Arabidopsis thaliana: one gene and its partner. The protein of the gene in region 1 interacts with the protein of each later gene in a pairwise test. Each region holds a gene or a part of one and is shown on either strand. Other genes may lie near its edges.

Region 1 (11,700 bases):
TAGACTCCATATATCGACACTCGCATCATGTTCAACGCTTTCCACTGTGAATCCAAAAGCAGAAAAGTCAATTAGCTGGTTGCCGAAGAAAGTAATTTAGAATCACACAAGAGAGAGAGAGCTTTCTCTTACCCATCTCAGGTGGAAGGTAATCCAAAGTGCCACACATAGTCCTTCTACGGTTGAATGTGTGTACTGACCATCCAAAATCTGCAATCTTGAGCTCACCCTGAAAACATATATCCATGAATACATAAACACATAAGCTAACTGCAATCACATGGCGTTGATGGAGAAAGATAACCAGATTCAATTTGTTACCTGAGCACCAATCAACAGATTTTCAGGTTTTATATCTCTGTGAATTACATGCTTTCCATGGCAATAGATGAGGGCTCTAGCCAATGACGCAACATACTGCCACAATAAACGTAAGGGTATGACTACACAGATTCACATTAACATGCTAGAATAAGTTCAATTATCACTAGGACTTACAGTTGCTGCTCGACGTTCGCTGAAGTACTTGCACTTCTGAAGCTCTTTATAAAGCTCACCCCTTACAGCATACTCCAAAATCAAATAAACTCTTTTCTGCAACAACGGTATCCCAAAAACTATGTTAACCTCACAGAGCCAAACATTGTATGTCAACAAGAAGTTCTTTTACAAGCACAGATAACACAAAACCTGATCATAGAAGTAACCGTAGAGCCGCAGAATATTGGGATGCCGAAGATGAGATTGAATCTCTACTTCCCTTCGTAACTGGTGTTCAACTTGAGATTGTTGAAGCTGAGCCTTAAAAAGAACCTTTAAAGCCACAATGTGATCGCTCTGTTTGCAAAGACACATAGAAGACAGCTTGGTTAAAAAAGACATCAAATTAATTCTGCTTGTTTAACATAATTGTGAAGAAACACTAACCCGTTTCTCTCTTGCTAGATAAACATGGCCAAACTTTCCTCTACCAAGTGGCTTTCCGATATCGAAATCGCTTGTAGTCCATCTCTTTTGTGCAGCCTCTGAAGCCGCCTGATACAACATTATCACAAAGATTGAAATCCAATCAACTCTCAGATACACTTAATCATAAACGACAAACAATCATTGATACTTTAAAACTTGAAGATAAAAGGATAAAATCAACAGCTCCTTAACACTAATCCACGGATTTGTCAATTAATCTAGGGTCCTCGCTGTAAACGAATAAATCCACAATCATATCATGAAATTTCTCAAAATCATACCAACAAGTCTTTCTCAAATTAAACAGAGAACATTGAAACAAGATTCTTTCTGGCGCAAAGAAAATCAAGCAACCAAATCGATAATCCCAGATCACATTCCATTAGAACAGACCAAACGCAGAGAAAAAACGCAAACCAACAAGGAAGTAAAACCCTAAATTGAAACAAATTCGACAAAAGAACCAAATGAAATTGGAATTTGTGAAACCAAGAACAAGTTATTTTCTTACAATTTGCTGCGTCTCTGTAGAAATCCCCATGGAAGAGATCGTTGATGAGCCAAGATAGCGAGAGAAAGAGAAGAAAGAAAGAGAGAAGAGAGAGTAATTTTCACAAAGGGAACAGATCCAAATTGAGAAATTTAAAAAGGGGAAAAAACGTAAACCACCAGCAAAGCAGCAACGGTCGAATCCAGATGCTGCCACGTGTTGATACATCTGCATCGAGGTTTTTATTTTCAAATAATTTGTCTCCCGAGATGATACAGTCGCTACAGGCCCAGATATTATTAAGCCCACGGTATTCCAACTTCATAATCACTAGGATAATATACAGTCACTACAAGCCCAGATAATAGCCCAATAAGCTTCAAGATCGTTTGACGATGAGATTTTAATTCGGAACTAAGTAACCACGTGTCAGTACCTCGTCAAAGTAGCTCCATGCAGAACTGACACGCCCGCGTGACACTCTTCTCCATTGCCTAACACGCCTCGTCGTTCGACACATGTCTCGTTTAAGTTTAGCCTCTCCTTCATACTAGTCTATTTTCATTCTTCATAATAATCACAAATGGTAAGCTTATTAAAGCTACAAAAACAACATAGAACATTAAATCCATACTCTCTTAGAAAAAGAAAAAAAGAAATGGCGGATCATCAACAACATCAGCAACAACAACAACCAATAATGAGGAGTCTCCATGAATCATCACCATCGACTCGGCAGATAGTGAGATTCGTAACGGCAGCTACGATCGGCCTATCACTCCTCGTGCTCTCAGGACTAACACTAACCGGAACGGTGATCGGTTTGATCGTAGCGACGCCGTTGATGGTTCTGTTCAGCCCGGTGTTGGTACCGGCAGTGATAACGATAGGGCTTTTGACGATGGGATTCCTATTCTCCGGTGGTTGTGGGGTGGCAGCAGCTACGGCGTTAACGTGGATTTATAAGTACGTTACCGGAAAACACCCGATGGGAGCGGATAAGGTGGATTACGCGAGGATGAGGATAGCGGAGAAAGCCAAAGAGTTGGGACATTATACGCACTCGCAGCCACAACAAACACACCAAACCACAACAACTACTCATTAGAGTTTAATAATTATATGGATCTATATGTTGTATTAAGTTTTATGATTATCCTACGTATGTTTTTTTAATACTGTTCTTACCTTTTTGAAAAGATCTATCTAAAATTTTATTTTCTATTTTCCATACAATTTTTTGTGTGTTTAATTGCTGATCGGTATTTTCTGTTTTATGATTGTGAAATAGCTAGTGTAAGGAAAGATGATAACGAATTAAGTAAATTAATAAATGCCAATTACTTGGTCACCGTCTGGCTTCTAGAATTATATGGTGGCTTTCTTGGTATATGTAAATGTAGTTTTGAGTGTGGTCCGTTTGATTTGAAATAATATTGTTGTTTTTATGTTCAAAAAGAAAATTGCAAGGTTTGTGAATTTTGTGTATCAATACCAAGGCTTGAACCACTTTATCTATACTCGCTAAATAAATTTCGAAGGCTGCGCTAAATGGCTCGTGTCATTTACGTTGTCTTCATGAACGTATTGTAGTTAGTGTGATTGTAAAAATATTTCTTTGTTTAATCATTCCTCAAAAATTGTATTCGGCCTTTGAGAGATGCGGTGAGGTCGTATGCATGTTTTCCCAAATTTCGAATACTTGCAAACTGTTCTATGAATGTGGTTTTTAGGTACTCATGAAATAATTGAAAACTTTACTTGTCTATATGTTCGTAAACCATTGGCATTGAATTGCATGGCATGGCTTACTATGCGCGCACCAACAAAATGCACATGCATGCTTCACGAACGTATAAAGAAGCTGAGGGTGGACAACATTCACTGCTTGTAGTGGGCAATGCAGTCTTGTAGAGCAGTTGTACTTTCAAACGAGGTTCTTTGTCAACGTCTGATTGGTTTTCTAGAATAATTGAAGGAGTACTTTTGTCCTTATCCTCGCAATGGACTGAGTAAGTTTCCTCCGCGGTTCCCTACTGGCCATGAGCTATGAATTTTTCAAGTGGTGGGTGCCAGGTGCCGGGTGGGTGCGGCGTTAGGATTATTCCTAAAGTTGAGGATCGATATACGGTTAAGTTTTTTTGTTATGGAGTGGTGTTTCGTAGTTTGTCATTGCATCAGTTTGATAATCTCTTTCTTCTAGCACCAGATTGTTTAGATAAATGTTAGGATATATGTGGAAGCAAAGGAATGATGTGGTTCACAACCAAGTCTCGATCCCAATATCAACTATCTTCAAGCTCATCGACAAAGAGATTCAGAACGTAAGCACCGCAAGACGTAAATGCAAGCGTTATTGCAACCTAATGCAAACTCTGGTTAATTTTAACTCCCACTATGTAATGTGACTTCTACATCATTTGTCTCTTTGTTTAATTTTTTGGCCAAAGATTCAAATCCATTGATATTCAGAGACAATAGTCTATATGGATTTATTAGATATAGTCTATATGGACTTATTAGATGATATTAACATTCATAGAGAAAACAACAAATTAGGATACGTTTTCTTTCTAATGAGAAAGTGAATGTACGAATGGTTGTTGGGAGGCTATTGTGTCTCGTAGATATTTTAAATAATTTGAATGTTTACTAATATAGAATGTGTATTCAATTATAACTATTTAAATTATTTTATTGTTGGTTTAGACGCATTCTTAAACTTTCACATCATTCTCTCGTGACTATTATAATAGTTATCGTGCTCGATCAATCATCTCGTGACTATTATAATTTTATCAATAGTTTATGCATAAGAGAACTGATAACGATCATACTTCTTTTTGTCATTATGATAGCTTATGATTAATCATTGTTTATCCATACTTGACGCTTGTAAGTGAAACATATGTTTAAATTTTCAGGCTTAATTTAATAGCCACGAACCAAAAATTATCTTATAATAAAAGTTTGGTGCGATTTAAGAAGATTTGTCCCCAAAGCCCTATCTGAAAGAGGTCAAATTGGATTATTAAATTCAACATATTAATCAATTTGATATTTGTTTAATGGTCTGATTAGTGACAATTATAAGTCTAATATTGCGAATCTTTTGCAGTGAGTATTCCACGTGATATAGATAAGTTTCCCTTAATGGATAACCTTTGCATCAAACAATTAGAAAACAAATGGAAGAGTATCAATCAAGTAGATCTCGAAGCAGTGGACCCTAACACGATACTGGAACATGGACCAAACCTTAAAATATCGTCCAAATTGCTTATTTTCTGGAAGGTTACAAGTGCACAACACTCTAATAATATATGCCCCGCATAACAATTTTTAAAACTATTTCATCTTAGACCTCGGATATTTTGAAGGAAGCACATTTTCTTGAAAATCACTAGGTGACTTGTGTTTCTTTCTTTGGAGCATGTCAATTTACTCCCATCAGCTGGAGAGCCAAAAGTTAAAATTAATGTTCGAAATTTATTTCATAAAAGCTACGTACGTTGCATCCTTCCATGATCTAGAAAAAATGGGGGACAATAACCAAATTTATTCACTCTTGTCAGGTCATGGGGAGTAGTCTACGACCTTGAAAGTCACGTGACAAGTAATATATACTGTACCGTCCAAATATTTTCTTACTGTAATGTCTTATGTTTCATATCGCTAGACCCTTAATATTAGTGTGGACTAATTCATATAATTGCAAATAAAATAGTATGATTCTACGATTCTTCAAAATGATCTAATAGTTACAGTCTGGTCAAAATGATCTAAATCTTTATAAACAAATAACAGCTACGGAATAATTAACACAATTTTTGGTGATAAACTTTGAGTTATGATAGAAATTTTTTTTTTTTCAATTTTTAATGTGTATCTTAATTTCTTCAATTAATGTATCCCTATGTTTTATGTGACTATATAACTTTTGGTTAGTGATACTCCAAAAATGTTGTTTTAGGTTTTGACACACATATTAATAATTTGTTTTATTTTTTACTTTACAAAATTTCTTATTGGTTAAAACATAAATCACTGCAAATAAAACTTTAATTTTGTTTGTAGTCAAAATTAGCTTTTAAAAATGTAAATTGATATTTATTCTAATTATTTTTTTAATGTTCTGACAATTAATTTAAAACGGAAAGCGTAATAAAGTAGATGTTGGGGCTGATTGGTAACGGCTGTTACTTTTGAACTCTAAATATTTCGGATGTTACGACTTTGACTGTAAAAATTTTGGTTGTAAAAATTTTGACGATAGAAACTTTAACTGTTAAAGTCTGATTGGTACAAAAAAATCACAATTATTTTTATTATTATTTAATATTTTTTATAAATATTATTTATGCTAAAAAATCAATTTATTTGGTAAAATAGTAACTAAAATAAATTTATTTTAAAAAAATACAAAATTCATTTTACAAATTCACTATTTTAAATATTTAAATTGGATCTGAAAAGAACAGAAAAAATAAAATTCGAATTAATCAATCGATTTTTTAATGATAAAATATAAATAAATTTGAAAAGAGTTTTGAAATTTTATGGATAAAGAAAAAATATTTTTATTTTGTTTTATTATTCTCTTTTAAAGTTAAAGACTTTAGGAAAAAAACAAAAGAAAAAAAGTAAATGGAGAGAAAAAAGCTTTTAAAACTTTAAAAATTAATAAAGTTTTAAAAGTGTGATTGATTAAAAAATAAATTTGAAAATTTTTAAATATTTTTAAAGCTTTGAAAACATTTTTTTTTTTTTTGGGGGGACAAATATGAAGAAAAAAAAAAAAAAAAAAAGACGAACATGAAGGGGAAAAAAACAAAAGACGAACAAAAATTGGAGATTTTTTCTTACACGTGTCATCATCTGCAGATTTGCGCTTATTAATTGTTTACCGTACGGTATTGTGGATAGGGTCAAGATTTTCATAACTTTACCGTAGTTAATATTTGACCCAACCATGGTTAAAATAAAGCAGTTTATATCACAGACACACACCTCTCTCTCTTCTAGACTCACTAAACAAAAATGATGATCGGCGAAAATAAAAACCGGCCACATCCAACGATCCATATCCCTCAATGGGATCAAATCAACGATCCAACGGCCACAATCTCTTCACCATTCTCTTCCGTCAACCTTAACAGCGTTAACGACTACCCACACTCTCCGTCACCGTATCTCGACTCCTTCGCTTCTCTCTTCCGTTACCTCCCGTCAAACGAGTTAACAAACGATTCAGACTCATCAAGTGGCGACGAGTCATCACCACTCACCGACTCATTCTCCTCCGACGAGTTTCGCATCTACGAGTTCAAAATCCGGCGATGCGCTCGAGGTCGATCTCATGATTGGACGGAGTGTCCGTTCGCACATCCCGGAGAAAAAGCTCGACGACGTGATCCGAGAAAGTTTCATTACTCCGGCACCGCTTGTCCTGAGTTTCGTAAAGGAAGTTGTAGAAGAGGTGATTCGTGTGAGTTCTCTCATGGAGTTTTCGAGTGTTGGCTCCATCCTTCTCGTTACCGTACTCAGCCGTGTAAAGACGGAACTAGCTGCCGGAGAAGAATCTGTTTCTTCGCTCATACGACGGAGCAGTTACGTGTATTACCTTGTTCGTTAGATCCAGATCTTGGATTCTTCTCAGGATTAGCTACTTCTCCGACTTCGATTCTTGTTTCTCCTTCGTTTTCACCACCGTCGGAATCTCCGCCGCTTTCTCCGAGTACCGGTGAACTTATTGCGTCGATGAGGAAAATGCAATTGAACGGAGGTGGTTGTTCGTGGAGTTCTCCGATGAGATCTGCAGTTAGGTTACCTTTTTCGTCGTCTCTGCGTCCGATTCAGGCGGCAACGTGGCCGAGGATAAGAGAGTTTGAGATCGAAGAAGCTCCGGCGATGGAATTTGTGGAATCTGGGAAAGAGCTGAGAGCGGAGATGTATGCAAGACTCAGTAGAGAGAACTCACTCGGTTGAGTCGACTTGGATCGAGTCTTTGATGACGTGGCGACTCGATCTGATTTTGTGAATATTTTAGAGATTTTTAAGGTGTTGTGGATAAATGACGTGGCGGGTCGATCTTAGTGACGGTACAATCGGACGATGAAGAAAAAAGCGTTAAGAGTAACAAAAAAAGGAAGAATTTGTAAAGAGATGATAATGAGAGAATTTGAGAGCTATTCTTCTGGCTTTTTTCTCTGCAGTTTTTTTTATTGTTTTCGTTATTTTCTTGTTTTTATTTTGGTTTTCGGCTTTATTTTGTTTGTTGTTTATTAATGTTATATCATTTTGTAATTAGTTCTCAAATGTATTTGGATAACATCTTAGTTTGAGACTTTAGAAAAGAACATTTCATTTGTTGTTTCCTTCTTATCGATTTCGTTGTTATAATAGTAAGAGGATATAAATATTTTTTGTTGGCCTGTTCTTTTTCCAAACGCTGCGATCATATCCAGCGACCAAAAAAACAGTTGCTTAACACACAATTACGTTGAAGTCTGTAGAAAGTTATGTGAAGAGGAGTCGCTCGATTTTAAAAACAGCGACCTATAAGGCATATACACGTGTCGCCAAAAAATAACAGCAACTTAACATTTTCACTAAGGACGCCGCCGGCGTCCATATTGAACGACTGTTTTTGTATCTCCGTTATAATTTTTGCTTTTCGTCGGAGTCCCTATTGCTGTCACAGCGATTAATAAACGAACAAGCCCAACAATTAATCAGAGAAAATAGTCTCGAGAAAATAACTCTCTTGCATCATATCTCTAATGAACATCAAATCTGCCTACAAATTCTATTTTTAAGTAAACATATTCCTTTTGACAAAAAAAAAAAACTATTTGGCTATTTCCAATGGTAGACTAGATCCACTCTGAAAATAGACTAATGACTAATGAATACTCATAATTTGGATAAAATTTTCATTTTCAGAATGATTTTCAAATTTAAATATGTTTTCAGTAATACACGAACAAATCTATATGTTTTAGGTATACATTGGGCATTTAATCAATACTAATATGGTTATCCAGTTAATTGAAATTTAAAAATACAACAATAATGTATTAAATTAAAAAATACAGTGACATAACAAACGATAATTTTATACATAATAAGTTATGAAATTTAACATAAAAACTCAAACAAACATAACAGAACATAGACTAGTAAACAGTTTTGTTTAAAAACTAATAACAAAAAAGAAATAGAATATGGTACACAAAAGAGAGTAATGGTAATCAATCCTATTTGCTTCGTGCAAATAGAGAGCATGAGACTCTTATTACTTACTTAGTTTGAGGAGAAAAGCTATGTTTTTTGTATTTTAATTATTAATTTTGAATAATGTATTGGTAGAACTTCTCTTATGAAATGAGATGTTTTTCTATTTTAATTTTCCTATTTATTGATTATGCTTTTTATATAATAGCTAATTTTTTAAAAAACATATTATTTAATTTGAATCGTTTTTGAGTAATGATATGAATGTAAAATCAAAATTTCACGTAACTTTCAAATTTAATACTAAAAATAGTTAGCATCAATAATTAAAAATGATACCAAAGGATTTATAACCTCACTAACAAAAATGATGTTTATCTTAAATTATAACATCATTTAAAAGAGTGATGCTAAATTGTTTTAGTTTCACTGAATTTAGCATCGCTTTCTAAAATGACTATATAATTCTACCGTCAGTTTAAAAGTCAAACTAACTTATAAAAAAAAAACTGATGCCAGATTTATTTATTTATTATCTTTTTAAAAAAATTTTAGTGATGATGCATCTCAGTATCTCAATGTTGTTTGTTTCTAACTTTCTATATTTAGTTTATAGTTTTATTAAAAAAAAAACTATTACATGGTCTAAAAAATCATAATTTTAACGTGAATTGTTTATATATGCAGTGAGTAAAACAAATAAATTTTCAGAATGCATTCCTCATTTATGAGAGAAGGAGTGTAATTTCTTCGCTTACTTTTTGAATGGAAGAAATCGTGTAATTTCTTAAAGTTGAATGATACTGCAATAATTATACAAAATGTTACTAATTAAGTAAAAAAAAAAAAGAAGAACAATACAAGGAACTAACAAACACAATTTTTTTTTTTATGCAAAATATAAGTAAAATATAAGTAAAAGATAAGCAAATGTACAATTTGGTTTTGATTAACCTATGCGTTTTTTTAGTATTTGGTCAAACCACGAATTAACTTGTTTCCAAAAACAAATTAGAAAAATTTCTGACTTTGGTTTGGCATGGTCTACAGCAGAGGGCAGAGAATCGATCAGGACAAAGTGTTTTGGAACAGCTGGTTACATTGCACCAAAATAAGCATGTAAGATTCTTCTTTAATATGTCAATATTTACATCTGATCACCAATATATTTGATTTATGACTCCTCTTTGTAATTACAGTGACTAACTACAAAAGCTGATGTCTATAGCTTTAAGGTACTTCTCATGGAATTAGTACCAGCCATCAAGCTATTATATGAAGATGATCATCACATTCCCAGTTGGTTCACGAAAGTATTCATCGACAAAGACTCATTCGAAAAAGCCATTAACAAAACCATGGACCTTAACTAGAAGACCGCATCATCATTAATGATTGACTAAATAAAGATATTATTTAATCTAAATGATATATAATATATTATTATAAAATGTTCATTACAGACATAGTTTTTTTAATATATCTGATGACAAATTAATACAAATGCTTATACCAACAAATAAAAATAATGAAAGAAACTAAATGATAAATAAAACTAAAACATAAATAAATAAATAAAAACAAATACAATCTTAGAGAGATAACTCTTGAATACGTATGACCAAATTAATCTTGGTTCCCCATAAAAGATATGAGTTTCCCACTCATATGTATGCAACTTCTTGGTGTTATAATAGCTAGGTCTCTATGCGTCTCAAAATTTTGTGGTGTTCTACTTTGTAATGTCATTTTTATAAATTCGAGTTTTCTTTTTATCACTTTCGTGTTTTGTCGTCTAGAAAATTCATGGTTAATCACACGTTAAATGTAGCATTGTTGTTTAATTAGATCATTCGTGCTTTGTTTTGATCGTATAGCTCAAGAGATTAATTACAGTTTGTTTTTATCGATAAACATGAGTGAGATGGTGTTGATGACAATTGGAGTTTATAATCAAAAGTTGTAATAAAAACCTAACTATGGGAATCTTGTCACGCAGGTAAAAAAGACCCTTTATCTCGTTTCTCTTATTGTTCTCTCTAAAATCGGATTGGTGATGATTGTTGTTATAACAGCCCAAGTAGTAGTAGGAGATCATCAGATGATAGCATGAAGCTTTTTACAACAGCATTGTTTGTTATAGCTTTTGGCATTGTTATTGGACTATCTTTTCCATCTTTATGGATCACTGAGGTTCTTCTTATTTCTCTTCAAATCTTTTACTTCTTAGATTTTATACTTCGTTTGTCGCATGCCATTTTTGTATTGTGTAGACAAGTCTCCCGAGAAACCTTCTTCGCTCCACTCACTTAGAGATTCAGGAATTGCAACTCCTCACAAAGCCATTGATGATCTCAAAGGCATGTTTTATGTAGGAATTTATACCTTTTTTCATGTTTTAAGAACAAACCAAAGCTTAAGGCATGTTTTGGTGCAGATATGGGAACCATCAAATCTTTGAGGCGCTGAGAGAATACCATCCGGTATCATTGCATCCGAATCAGACTTGTACTTGCGTAGATTATGGGGAACCCTGATGAGGTTTGTCCTCACTCTTTTGATATTACAGCTTTCATATGTGATCAATGAACATTAGCTTCAATTTTATTTTCTCTGTTTCCTCAGGATTTAGTGAAACAACCGAGATATCTAGCAACAATTACAGTGGGTTATAATCAGAGACACAATATAGATGCGTGTGTTAGCAAGGTTGCTTGATATAACACTTTTTGTTTTCTGTTTTTGCTTTATAGTAAACTCATTATGATTTGTCTACTCAAGTACAGTTTTCAGAGAACTTTACTATTGTTCTGTTTCATTACGATGGGGTAACAAGTGCATGGAATGATGAGTTTGAGTGGTCGAGGAATGCAATACACATAAGTGTCAAAAAGCAGACAAAATGGTATCAATATCTTTGCTTTAACCACTTTTTTTTATCTGGTTTCTTGACTCTCTCATATTGTGAATATAAGGTGGTATGCAAAGAGATTCTTGCACTCGGA
Region 2 (7,572 bases), 3.6 Mb from region 1:
TTACACATTATCTAAATCGATATAAAAACAAACCCAAAAAAAAAAAGCGAACAGAAGAAACAAATCATTCATCTTAGGTTTCATCATTCAACCAAATTTAATGATTAAACTTGAATATTTGTGTATATAATATATTAATATGTACATTGATATCCAACGGGTCGGGCTTAGACGCTTAGTTAAATGATCAAAACGGCCCTCAATGATTTGGGGAGCCATAGTCCGATCCCCATTAGCCGCGTCCGGGACAATGACATGACCAAACCAAAGGTCATCAAACTCTTTGAAAATAGTTGAATCCTCGTGTAAATCATAAATAACGTATCAATAATAATCAAAGGTTTATACTTTATACTATAAATGCGCACGACGTCTCTTTCTCTCTCTCTCTCTTCCTCTATTTCTTAGATTTGTCATTTGTTATTCGTCTGAATACGGCAGGTCCTATCTACACATGTAACAATAATGTCGTTTAAAATTAGTGTTTTTAATCTCACTGCCAGTACTATAAGATTTTGATATCATATAAGATCAATATCATTGATCGATCCGAGACAAAAGAAAGAAAAACTAAATTATGTTCATTAATCGTTATGTATAGCGTAAGTCGTGTGATGTCAAACCATCTCGTGATTGAGTATGATGGGTACAAAAGCTAGGAGACCAAACCCTGAGGTAAAGTAATTACTGATTGTATGAACAATTTTTGTGTGAGCAAAAAAAAACCTGTAAAATATATATATATGCCCATGATAAGATGATATCACATTTTTGTAATGAAAACGGTGTGATTTAACTAAATTTTATGTCCTTATCTTGGTGCATACAAGGCGTTTTCAAAGATACATATAATAATTTCCCGTACAATCGAATAGAAGCATTGGATTATTGGAATAATACATGTTTTATCGTACGGTAACTTAAGTGCTTACTCGGTTCTGTTTGATAAGGTATACGAAACAACATTTTCAAGCTTATGCCTTCTTAATGATCTAATTAAGTATGCTTAACTGTTTTTATTTGCTTAATGGATATGTTGAAGTCAAAGAACAAGAGGTAATCAGTTCTTGCTTGTCTCTTCATACTATTCATATCTGAATGTGATGTTATATAATATATTCTTATTGTAGGAATCGTGAACCCTAAAAGTGTGACATTGATTTGGTACTAAATATCATTGTGAATCTGCTAACTGGAAAGCGAATTCCTCCAAGCCATGTAAGCCATTCTGTTTCAAACCATGTAAGCCATTCATCTTGACTTTGTGACTTTAATCCTTAGAGAATCTGTCTTTTTCAATTCCTTGCAACACAAGTCACATTTCTGCTGAGTAAATTAGTTGTGATATAGTAATCCTTAATTTCTTGCCACACAAGACACATATTACTGAGTTGTTATCCTCCTATTTTTAGGCTCCTGTGAGGAGAAACGGAAAGTTTGTTACTGAGCTGATGAATCCAAATCTCAAGGGAAAGTTCTCAACAGAAGAAGCTTTCCTAGTTTTCAAACTCGCCTCTGAATGTTTGCAGTGCGAACATAGAAAAAGTCTCATCACAAAAGAGCTTGTTGCAACACTTAAAGCCTTGCAAACTAAACCACACGTAAGGAGCTAGGCTTACTATAACCATATGCATTCTTGATGATATTTCTCGCACTCGTGTTATAAAACCTATCGTTTTGCTTGCAGATTCCAAACATTCAAATGCTTGAACTGGAAAAGTAGCACGAGGTGGGAGCATCTTCCAGTCAACAACAACAGTTTGAACTGTTTAGCGTTCTTAAGTATGCAGATTCCAACTTCTTCTTAAGTTATAAAACCGATCTTTTGTTTGCAGATTCCAACTTCTGAAATGACAAAGCAGAATCTGGAGGCATCATCTTCAAGTCAAACTAAAGCATAAGTAAGAATAGGACTTATTGTTACCCTTAATGAATTCTTTATGAGTTTTCGTACTAAAAAACAGATCATCATCATCTTGCTTGCAGGTTCCATCTTCTAATATGGAAAATTTAAGCAGAAGAATCATCTTCCACACTGAATCTGCTAGTAGCTTTAACAAAGCAACACTTCTCGAAGCAAAGAGATCCAACAACATGCATGGTTAGGGAAGAAGAATCTTGAGTTTATGTTAAAAAATATAAAAAAGAAGTGATATCTTTTACCCTTGTTATATATTAAAAAAAATACGTATACATTTCTCTCTTCTTTTTGTTAAAGGGTTCAAATGAATTTATCTCATTAATTAACAATATCACTAGCAAAACTATAATTCTACTAAAAAAGTTTTCAAATAATTAACCAAAAAAAATATCATACACCTTTGAAATCCACTTGTCACACCACCATGCAATTTCAAACTTCCTAAATATGAAAATATAATTTTGACCCACTAGTGAAAAAACAAGGAAAATATATAACAAAAAACTATAATAATAACTAGAAGATGAAGATCAACGATAAAGATTGCGTAATCTTGAGTTTAGATTTTAGGGATAATAGTCTGTTATAAAAGGTTCTTTCCTTTGTGTAAACTCACTTGTTAGTGATAACAATCTCTTTCTCTTTCTCTCTCGCAAAGAACGCTTTCAATATTCTCTCTGCTTTTGCCGGCGAAAACGAAACCATGGGTGGTTGTTGCTTCTCGACGCCTCTTGATAACAATCAACAACCTCCACAACAGCCACAGATTCCTCCCGGCGAACGCAAGAACGACGGATTCGTCAACTGGCCTGTCACAGAGTTCTTCCTCTCCGATATCACCACGGCGACCAATAACTTCAGTTCCGACGAGATCATATCAGAGAACGCAGAAGAATCTTCCAATGTTGTCTACAAAGGTTGTTTATTAGAGAATCTTGGCTTCGTAGCTGTCAAGAGATTCAAGAATACGCCTTGGGATGATCCTGACTACTTCACGGTACCTTTTCTTTGCTTTTAAAGGTTATCAAAGTTTGCAACGTTCATTTGATCTCTTTTGTTTCTTCAGGAAGACGCAAAAACAGCTGGGGAGCTAAAGCACAAGAGACTTGTCAAGTTGTTGGGATATTGCTGCGAGGAAGATGAAGGACTTCTTGTTGCAGAGTTTATGCCAAATGATACTCTTGCTAAGCGTTTATTCCAGGGTATGATTCCTTCTCTTCTTTCGTTTTCAGATATAGAATTGGTGAATATGAGCTTAAGAGTCTGGATTGTTAGTCGATCTGTTCTATAGATGTATGTGCTCTGTTTTGAATCTTGGCAGAGAGGCTGCATTGTTGGTTTTTGTGGCATGATTGTGGGTGTAGAATGGTATAAACGTATCTGAAGATAGAGAGAGTGCATTGTTGTTGGTTTATGTGACATGCTATAGAATGGTGTAAATGTATCTGCTTGTAGAATTGATTGAAACAGAACTTATTAGCATTCTCTGTTTGAGGTTTCTTTTTTCTTTTGTGATGCACAGAGAAGAACATGGAATGGTCAATGAGGTTGCGAGTGGCGTATCATATAGTTGAAGCATTGGATTATTGCAATTCTGTACGTTTTGACGAGTACGATAATCTAAGTGCTTACACTGTTCTGTTTGATAAGGTATGTTAAACAACATTTTTCATGCCTATGCCTTGTCATGTGATCTAAGGATGCTAAACTGTTTTTACTGGTGTTGAAGGATGGTGATGCCTGTCTTTCTAGTTTCGGCTTGGTGAAAGAGATCATCCGTTACAATCGAAGAGAAGGAGGTAACCAATTCGCTCTTGTATCTTCAGACTATTCATATCAGAATGTAATGTTTTATATTCTCATTGTAGGGAACGTGAGGACTGGGAATGTGACATACAGATTTGGTACTATCCTTGTGAATCTGCTAACTGGATTGCAAATTTCTCCGAGCCATGTAAGTAATTCTGTTCAAGCTTGACTTTGTGGAATCCTTGGTTTCTTGCAACACAAGTTACATTTTACTGAGTGGTTATTTATCCTCTGTTTCTAGGCTCCTGAGATGATCAATGGAAAGGATGTCACTGAGCTCATGGATCCAAATCTGAAGGGAAAGTTCTCTACAGAAGAAGCTACTATAGTTTTAAAACTCGCCTCTGAATGTTTGCAGTGGAAGGGTTATATAGAGAATGGCATCACTAAAAAGCTTGTTGCAACACTTAAAGCCTTGCAGGCTAAAAAAGAAGTAAGGAGGCTTACTGTTACAATAATTTCATCCCTGAAGATTTTTCGCATTCATGTTATAAAACCAAATCTTTTTGCTTGTAGATTTCATCTTCTGAAATGCATGAAGTAACAAAGCAGCACGATGTGGCATCATCTTCGAGTCAACAACAACTTCCACCCTGAATCTGCTAATAGCTTCAACAAAGTAACTCTTCTCGAAGCAACATTTTTAGGGAAGAAGAATCTTGATTTTCTCACTTAGTGTACTGACACTGTGAAGAAACACCATAATCCATGCATGATACATATACATGTATGATCAAACAATATAAACTTTTTACATAGGGAAAAAGATTCAACGTTTTAAACTTCATAAAGCTAATTTCTTGAATATTGGACATTTAGTAAATAACTCTATTTGCATTTCATAAACTAATTAACTTATATATAGAATACAATACCACAATCCTATACGTTCATCATACAAAGTATCACACATATATACAGAGAGAGTTTTTTGTTAATTAAGAGAAAGAACCAAATACCCAATAAATATATAAAACCTTAAGTTATCATATATCAAAGTCCTAACCTAAGATCCAAGGAACAACCTAACGTTGTGTCTGAAGATGTCGCCGCAGGAACATTAAGATCAATGCCCCTGACTTGGTTCTCTTCCTGATCTTTCTCCCAATGACATCTCATGTGACCTCCTAACGCTTGACCACTGGAGAACACTCTAGAACAGATGTTACATCGATGATTCATCCCCGAGACCAACTTCACACTCTTGCCCTTATCTTGATCAACGATCTCTTGAGGAGGTGGAGGAGGAGGATCTTCGGTTATGTTTTTATTGGCGAAACATCCTTTGACGTCTTTATGTGTTGCTCTATGTCCGCCTAACGCTTGATGTGACCCAAACACTTTCTTACAACCATCACACTCAAACCGTTCCTCAACTTCACTTGAACGGGTTGGGACATCACCATTAGCCATCATTAGTAAACAGGAGGCTATGTTATGCTCTTCCTCAGATGGATCCCAACTCGAGGATGATGACGCAGCGTTTGAGTTGATCCTACGTTTGAAGTTAGAAGGAGGGTTGATGCCACGCCACTGACGTTCAGGGTGACATCTCATGTGTCCAAAGAGTGCCTTCAGTGACCCGAATTGTTTACCACATTCAGTACATGGTCGTGCGATTTGTGAAGCATCAGGGTCCGGTTGCGTGACCGGTTTAGGCCTTGGAGAAGACGAAGAAGAACCGACTTCGTTGTTGGTGAGTTTAGTACGTTTTCTTCTTGGGTTTTGATTGTAACTAGGAAGAGTTACATTGGAGGAAGCAAATGGGATATCGGAATTGGGATCGGAGTTTGAAGTGTTCGACATTATTATTGAGTCTCTTACTAGAGAGAAGACAGAAAAACTAAAAGAGAGGAAAAAAAAAAGTAGAAGAGTGGGAGTTATGGTTGGTTAAGTAGAAGAAGAACAAGTTAGTTTTCATCGACGGTTTCTTAGCAGTTACTTCTCCCTGTTTTGTCGGATTTACATTTCTTTTTTTGTTTTCCTCATAAGTTTTGTTTTTCTTTCAATTATTATTGTATTTATCTTTGTTATTCGAATGAAAAACTTAACGCTCAATCACAAATTATCAACGTCACTACAGCTATATTTAATAAGTAAAATGGAGATAAGAAAACGTAAATGTAACCATTCCACATTTCGAAATCAACTTCTACAGATGTACGAGGTAACAACTTCAAATAGAATCTGAAAGATAACAGACGACCCAAAGTATGTAAAAAAGGTTGTGGGGATTGGGTAAAGAGGAAAGAAGATGACCATTGAAAACAAATAGTGTATCGATGAGCGGCTTTTCTATCCACAAGTTCGCGATCCTATCATAAATGTAGTTATACGAATTCCATAAATTAGATTACTGAAAGAAAACACATTGTTTATTCTATAATTGAGAAGCCAGAGTGGAGTGATATCAGTTCACGAACCTGTATGTTACTGGCCAATACTCCCCAAGAGTCGTTCTACAGCAGCGTTAACGTTACCATTGGTTGCAAGCAAAGCCCTTATGTTCTCTGCTCTGTCGTAGAATCCCATTTCTTGCAACTGTTGCAACTGAGTCGCAAATCGCTCTTCAGGAGGAACTGGAATCAAATAGACATGTTTCAGTGGAACCATCTCAATAGATATATAAGAAATCAAAGTATAGCCCCTAGTGAATCTAACCATTGGGTTGGTTTGTGCCACTTAGGCCGCCAGCACCAAGGCTGCCAAACATATTCATCAATAAATCTAGTCCTCCGTTATTGGCTGTCCCTATAAATATTTCCATAGTAGTGATTTACTCAATAAGCAACGTAATGAATATACGATTAAAGTAAAGCAAAAGAACAAAAAAAAGCACACTGTCTAAGTGAACTAGTTGAAGCCTTCATACTTCAATTACAGATAATATAGTACCTGTCGCAGCACCAGTTTGCGTAGGATCCCTACAAAGAAGATGGATTGGGAACATGAATAGAGGTTGATGGAAATCAAGATCACTGATATCAAATGTTAAAGGAAAGAACCAAAAAAGAACGAAAATTTTTATGCTCCTATTCAAGTTTATTTCAAGGACTAAAATACTTTACAGCCGTTGATAAAGGTCACTAATGATCAGCCCAGTAAAACATACAAGAGTTGCTGCATTACTAATGATTCAACCCATTTATTACTTAATATAAGATAGTTCACCACCGAGAGAATTACCTGGTTAGCTAGTGACACTATTTTCTAAACACAGATCAACCCAAAATCCTATTATGATATATAAAGGACATTACCTACTCAACTAATGTTCCAACTAAAGAAAACAGAAAAGGGTATCCAAACTTACTGGCCAGCCGTGTTCCTATTCTGAGAGAAAAGTGATTGTTGTAGAGACATCATTTGCTAAAAAGACCAAAAAACAATAGAAAACATTAGGTCGGAGAAATTTGACTACTGAATGATATAAAAATAATTATCTGGAGAGACAACATGGGCCCAACTAACCTGCATCATCTCGGGAGAGCTAAACTGGCGAAGGAAATCAGGGTTCTGCATCATTTCCCTCAACTGAGGATTCATATCTAGCATGCTTCGGAGTTGTGGGTTAAGACTCATAAGCTGGAAATGAAGGAAATATTAAAATATTAAAGACAGCCTCACAATAGCTACAATGTCTAAAATTCAGATTACTGAAGGCGCTACCTGATTCATGTACTGTGGATTGGAAAGTACGCTTTGCATCATCTGCGACATAGCGGGGTTTTGCAGTATTTGGCTCAATTGAGAAGCATCTGGAGTCGCACCAAGAGGTGAGTCCGCTCCCAGCATACCGAGTCCACCAAGGCCTCCAAGCCCACCAAGACCACCAAGTCCAG

What was found. The genes of interacting proteins can lie anywhere in the genome.
Region 2: the proteins of ATCTH (region 1) and DAZ1 interact in a two-hybrid assay, tested with the Arabidopsis thaliana proteins (one large-scale study listed by BioGRID).

What each region holds. Positions count from the first base shown.
Region 1 is NC_003071.7:11,035,318-11,047,017, forward strand, and holds ATCTH (Zinc finger C-x8-C-x5-C-x3-H type family protein), read left to right. Parts: upstream 1-6,013; 5' UTR 6,014-6,156; intron 6,157-6,248; 5' UTR 6,249-6,499; coding exon 6,500-7,447; 3' UTR 7,448-7,939; downstream 7,940-11,700. Other genes in the region: AUR2 (ataurora2), read right to left, coding at 1-44, 133-229, 322-417, 499-594, 691-837, 928-1,035, 1,481-1,693; AT2G25890 (Oleosin family protein), read left to right, coding at 2,043-2,567; AT2G25905 (uncharacterized protein), read left to right, coding at 10,675-10,694, 10,771-10,888, 10,926-11,059, 11,133-11,178, 11,321-11,404, 11,482-11,600, 11,671-11,700.
Region 2 is NC_003071.7:7,472,112-7,479,683, forward strand, and holds DAZ1 (C2H2-like zinc finger protein), read right to left. Parts: upstream 5,573-7,572; 5' UTR 5,537-5,572; coding exon 4,724-5,536; 3' UTR 4,551-4,723; downstream 1-4,550. Other genes in the region: AT2G17160 (Interleukin-1 receptor-associated kinase 4 protein), read left to right, coding at 643-675, 1,413-1,601, 1,836-1,901; AT2G17170 (Protein kinase superfamily protein), read left to right, coding at 2,625-2,918, 2,988-3,123, 3,444-3,571, 3,651-3,720, 3,790-3,875, 3,972-4,163, 4,247-4,327; AT2G17190 (ubiquitin family protein), read right to left, coding at 6,161-6,309, 6,392-6,481, 6,626-6,654, 7,044-7,099, 7,202-7,315, 7,400-7,572. UniProt on the Arabidopsis thaliana protein: Mediates the regulation of male germ cell division by DUO1.